2 linked regions of the Yarrowia lipolytica genome follow. The protein of the gene in region 1 purifies or fractionates together with the protein of each later gene. This does not show direct contact. Links are inferred from orthologs where the notes say so. Each region holds a gene or a part of one and is shown on either strand. Other genes may lie near its edges.

Region 1 (2,657 bases):
AGTGCTTCAAACGCACTGGGTGTACTCGAGTATTGTACTTGTAACAAGAATTGGAAGTAAAATACACAAGACTGTAGTTTTAGTTCCAACCTCGTACTTGTAGTTGCCGTACTGAACAAGGTGGGATCGTAAGTTGGAATCTCTTCCGAACAAGTGGTGCTGAAAGCAACTGCACTTTCACCCACCTAAGCTGCTGTTATGGCACATATCGAAAGCCACACTTGGGAGAGATGAGCTCAAAAAAGTGAAGTTCCTGTCGGAATCCGCTATTCAAGCGAAATTATTGTCTGTTAGCACTTTTACGATAGCCCATGTGCACCTCTAGAAATAAACGCATCATACCAGCCAAGATCGATTACCACCGCGAGATACACTCCACCACGCCAATCAGACAGGTTCCTTCCTCTCCCATCATCGAATCATAACTTCATCTTATCTTTACTATATACATGCTCTGTCTGTTTCCCCGTGTGCTTTGATTCTCTGTCTCGTCCAGGCCTCTAGTTAACAATCTCCACGCCAACAGAAAGCGCAGTTCCACAGAGGGACTTGCAAATGTTTTCAAGAGGCTGGTCCTTGTGTCGCGAGTCCATCTTCTTGATCTTAGCCAGCTCGTAAATGTGTTTGAGAGACAGCTGGCCAACGGGCTGATCCCGGCCAGGCTTGTATTTGGCAGCTCCCTTCTCGGCCCCGGCGGCTCGCAGAAGCAGGAAGGCGGTCTGGGGCGATTTGAGCTCGAACGAGAAGGTTCGGTCGGGCTTGATGGTCAACACAACAGGAATGGGAATGTTGTCCTGGTAATGGGCCGTCTTGGCGTTGAACTCCTTGCAGAAATCAATGGCCTTGACACCCTTGGATCCAAGCACGGGTCCGACGGGAGGCTGGGGCTTGGCGGCACCGGCGCCAACGATGATTTTCACAATGGTGTTTGCAGTCTGGACCGCTTTTTTGGGAGCCATGGTGGTGGTGATGTTGAGAGTGGAATGAGCTGCAGGTGAAATTTCACTTTAGAGTTGGTTACCCGGGAGTGGGAAGGGTTGTGGTGCATTTTTTGAACATGTTTGATTTTGATGCGAAAAGTCCTAAACCAATACTAAGCGAGGCACAAAAAATGTCTGTCAACTTGTTTATTCTCTTGCGCAGCTGTTTGAGCCAGTAGATGATGATTTTAAATCTGGTGAGAGATAAGGTTGGTCTCGAAACCTTATTTGAACCGATATTTGGAGAGATTTGAGCGGGTTATAATGAGAATATTTGTGTGACAATTGATAGCTATTGTTGTAATGTTGAAGTAATACCCAAGTCTAGTTTGGTCTGTGTCTTTTCCAGACTTCTCCAATGAAGTTTTCTGCAGTCACCACCACCTAAATTTAGTTACATTTTACTTGGGTTTGTAACCAGTACAGTTGAGGGTTGTGAGACTGAGATGAAGCGTCATAGTGCTAAACGGATATATAACACCAATATGAATCCAACGATGGGCCATATAACAGACTAAACGGTATTCTATCTGTTGTATACTCTGTTTTATACTACTCTTGTGGATTATGGAACCCTTACCGTGATTCCACTTTCAACTATGGTAAAGTGATGAACATGGTAGTTATCAAACATGGTATGAACATGGTACAGTACATACTGTAGTTATAAAACATGTAGTGATAAACAGGGTAAAGTGATGAAACAATGTCAAAATTAATATTACTCTGTTGTCCTAGCTCTGATGAACTGAACTATCAACTTCTCATCTTCCTAGCATCTCTGTGAGACGAATTGGATTCCACACGTTTGTAGATAGCAGCGACGTGTGCAGATATCAGCTGCTAAATATAAGAACCAGACACAAGCTCAGTCCAGAGATTTCTTCTAGAATCCTACGCAAGATAATGTATCATTCAATCCCACTTACAAATAATCATCTGATTGGTTCCCCACCCCTCCGTCTCAACTTCCCTTACAGTCAATTGTTGTGTTTCAGATCAACCCCTGTTTCACAGTTGGCTTTAGTTAACTCCGGAAGGCTCCACATAAACTGAAGCCAGACTACAAATCGCACTAGTGCTACAATCACGATTCAAAGAAGCCCAACTTGTTCACCACGGCAAATAAACCCTAACAATTGTTTCCCTGTTCTTTTATAGCCTCCAAATCCACTTGCACTATACACCTTCCTTTACCACCTCCCTCACTAGACTCTACTTAATCTTCAAGTGAAATTTCTTAACTCCGTTGTTGAACCCAAAAACCACCACTTAGTAAGCCACATCTGCCGCCTCACTCAAGGGAAATACACACAAAATGGGGATGCTCACTTTTGTCACCGTCGACCCGGTCTCACTCACCTACAAGCACTCGAGAAGAACAATTCCCATTCGGTCGCCAATGTCCGAAAAACCCTAACCCTACCACAAATAAGCCTTTGCCACTTCCTTGCACTGTGGGGTGAGTGGTGTGTCTCCACATACACGAGATAGAGAGACGTGGACGGAACGTCGAAAAAGCAGTGGTATCTACGACAACAGCAACCAGGCGATCACGTGACCCACGACCGAACGAAAGCACGTGACAGATCAATTTCAGAAGCCGCGTGAAACTCCACGCAAACCAGACGGGAACAGCAGACACACACACACACACACACACACAATAACGCACGA
Region 2 (3,622 bases), about 520 kb from region 1:
GTGGGGAACAACCGATTGGAGTATAACGCCGCCCGAACTACACCCAGTTGAACAGGCAGTACATATACTCATCTGTCGTATCGATTTCATCTGCAGCACGACGGAGTCTCGGCTGGGTCTGCATGTTCACGATACAAGGACTTGTGCTCTCAGACGCTCTTCCAGAGATATTAAACCACAGGATATCTACGCGACACAGGTTTCAAGCAGTAATTGTACGAAATACAAGTAGCCAGACACCCGAAGCATCCTGCAGCGATAGTGATTGGGTCTACAACCAACTTGCTGTGACACTACAAGTAGTGACTGCACAAGTGTCGGCATGGTTCATTCAAATCAATCTATTGTGTTTACTCAGACTCAGCAGCCTCACCGGTGCTGATCTTGCCGTGTCGCTCTCTCCACACGCCGGCAGCGGCATTCCACTTGGAAATGTCGGACTCGGAGGTGATGCCCTCTCGTCGTCGGGTGTAGGGAAGGGTGGCGGTAGAAACCCACAGGGCCAGGCCGACGGCGATGCCGGTGGCGAAAAGGCCGTTGAGCTTCCAGTTGGAGGGGTTGGCCCACCAGCCTCCGGTCATAGAAATGACGTCTTTAGGGAATGGATATCGTCCTCCGCCCTGGGTTAGAAGAGTCAAATGAGACAAAAGCGCCGTTACGGCGAGTTATGGAGTATTGAGAAACGATGATATTAGCTTGGGTCGTTGTTCGTTGCGTCTGGTTGTCGTGCTCGGGGTCCACTGCCTTGAGCGCGTCCGAGCGTTTCCACGAGCAGTGCGATGAGACTGTCATTGGAGTGAACTGAGCAGTGAAAATGACGGGTCCATGACGTTCATTCATTCATACGTGGCATCTCTGCTCACGATCTCAGACACAACTTGACATGCTGCTGCAACCATTGGATGGTCATACCCCACATTCACCCACCGTGTCTGTTCAATGACAGCTCAGATCAAGCGCCGAGGTCAGCTTCGATCTTCCAGCAAGCAGCTCGCACAGCCCTTGTCGTTATCACGCAGCCCTTATCGTTGTCGTTTCACCCAGACACATGTCATCGCATCTCATCTCATCACTGGGTCATATGTCGCTCCAAAGTCCGATTCGAACCAACAAAAAACCACCCATGTCCTCGTCGCATGCGTAGCACACGTTCTCGTCGCTTTCTCGCCCTCCAATCCTTCCGCTCGCACTCACCATTTTGATATATGTTGCAGTTAGTGTGTGGATTACCTTTCTGCAAACCTCTAGTCTTTGGCTGGTCGGTGATTGGTGGTTGGGAGCGAACTCTATTTTTATTAGTCAGCCGGGACACGGATATGGAGACATGCTCGATTCGCCATTATACCAATTTGGATAAATTAGGAAAAATGTGGATAATAAATTGACAAGAATTTTAGGTGATTGCAAAATTAATGACTAAAATATAATTTTTTTGAGATACTCGGGCTGTTTTGGGAACTATTGGGAACATACTCACAACAAGTTGAAACAAATCATAATATAATGATTAAGCTAAAACAAATCAAAATATAATGAACAAGTTGAAACAAATCAGAGTAAATATATGAACATGATCAGAAACTAATGGAGAAATCAATCAGATGATAATTAAAGTGCTAATAAAATCGATTGCATCTTTCAATTTTTTTCATAATTTCAATTTTTCACCATATAATGAAATTCCTCATGTCCCTTCTACATACAGATTACGAGCGTTGTTATATATCAATAATACCACTTTTTTTTGAAAAAAAAAGCCATATACACTAAATAACTCATTTCAAACTATTTATCACTACCCAAACTCTAACAAAGGTCGACACTCGCCCAGAAACTACCACCCTCCTCCCACACCCTAACCCTGTGCATCATGAAAATTTCCCTACAGCTGTACTCACAACTCACTTTCCACATATCACCACGACAGGATGATTCGAACCAGTCGACTTTTGCGGGTGTCTCGAGTGGCCGTGTCCCGGTCCAGACTCATCACGTGCGCCCCGAGAAGCTTCACCTCTGACCACAAACCCAAGACTCCTCCCCAGGCCCCCACCATGGACCCCACAGCTCTTCGGTACCCCAACTCTGATCTGAGTGTCAATCTTCGAGACGTGGCCAAGGGCGACTACCTCGTCCCCGGTGACTTGGCCCGACAGTCGCCTGCTCTCAAAACTCTGCATGCTCGTCTTGGTCTGCCCGAGGCTCTGCCGTTGTCTACTCTGGCCCAGTGTCTGACCTGTCCCGAGGCCGACACTGTGGGAGAGGACGGCCGAAAGCTGGCCGACAACTACGGCATGTCTGTGTTTGGCGGCAGTCTGCTCAAGTATCACGTGACGGAGAAGTTTGTGGTCCAGTACCCCCGGCTTCCTCTACCCATTCTCAACTCACTGCTGGACTCCCATCTGAGTCTGCGATCTCTGACTCGTCTGGCCGAGTCCTGGGGTGTCGAGACCGACCGACGATCTGCCTTTGAGCGACACATGTCCAACGACTCGCTCGCAAACACCCTGGGTTACCTGAGATACAAGCCCGTGGAGGACGACGTCAGCAACGCCTCCAAGGACGGTGTGTTCGACTCCTACACTCCCCGATCCGACGTGAAGAAATACAACCAGAAGCAAAAGAAAAACTCGCAGCACAACTACGACTCGCAGGTCTACGTGTTTGACTCGTCAGCTCCCGAGGGCTACGAGCGATCGGCTGCCCGGTTTGTGCAGGCTCTGGTGGCCGCCATCCACGCACACGTGTCGCGAGACGAGGCGCTTAAGTTCATCGACAACTTCATTCTGTCGCGAGCCGTCGACGTTGAGTCGCTCTTCTCCTTCAACCAGCCCCACAAGGAGATTGTGCGAGTGTGTGCACGAGAGGGACTGGAGCGACCTGAGGCCCGACTCATGGCCGAGACCGGCCGTCTGTCCAAGGCCCCCGTCTTTGTTGTTGGTGTCTTTTCCGGCAAGCACAAGCTTGGAGAAGGCCAGGGAGCGTCGCTTGCCGAGGCCAAGATCCGAGCTTCGGTCAACGCTCTCAAGGGATACTACCTGTACTCCCCCATTGAGCAGACCCGACCCCAGGAAGAGGGGTACAATGGGACTTTTATCGACAAGGGTCCCGTTGTTATTTAGTGTATATAGTAGAGCTGAGGCATGACACAAGGAGTGCCGGAGACGTCGACGTCGAATAAAATGATTCAATGAGCATGGGGAGCGGGAACAGGTATGTTTCGAGTAGACAACTGAATTCTCTGCGATCATTCAGTTTGTAGACTAGCTACATTTTCGTTACCCATTCTACGAATGTTTTGTAAAGAACTGAAGTGGTCTGGTTGGAGTGCACTCCTTACCTATTGCTTGTTGATGATGAAGCAGCATACTTGAAATATTAGTGGAAGGTTCCTGCACCGGAGTCTAGGTGATGATGTCGAGAACGTGGGGCAGAGTCGCGCAGTAGAGAGGATGGTGGAGAGCTGTATACTCGATAAAAACAAAATGGACCAAAATAAAACAGCTTTGACACACTTTTTATTTGTAGACGTCTTTTGCAGTATTCTTGAGATGTCGGTTAGAGAACAGGGAGAGATATACAATTGATGACATCTGCATCAATATAACAGCTACAATAGAGG

The links.
Region 2: the proteins of YALI1_D27884g (region 1) and YALI1_D22704g purify together in Saccharomyces cerevisiae (affinity purification with mass spectrometry; 3 studies listed by BioGRID). This does not show direct contact. The link is inferred for Yarrowia lipolytica from reciprocal best matches to the Saccharomyces cerevisiae genes MRPL19 and MRPL3.

Annotation. Positions count from the first base shown.
Region 1 is NC_090773.1:2,786,706-2,789,362, reverse strand, and holds YALI1_D27884g (mitochondrial 54S ribosomal protein uL11m), read right to left. Parts: upstream 960-2,657; coding exon 501-959; downstream 1-500.
Region 2 is NC_090773.1:2,268,479-2,272,100, forward strand, and holds YALI1_D22704g (mitochondrial 54S ribosomal protein mL44), read left to right. Parts: upstream 1-1,928; coding exon 1,929-3,122; downstream 3,123-3,622. Other genes in the region: YALI1_D22691g (uncharacterized protein), read right to left, coding at 351-620, 1,195-1,197. UniProt on the Saccharomyces cerevisiae protein: Component of the mitochondrial ribosome (mitoribosome), a dedicated translation machinery responsible for the synthesis of mitochondrial genome-encoded proteins, including at least some of the essential transmembrane subunits of the mitochondrial respiratory chain.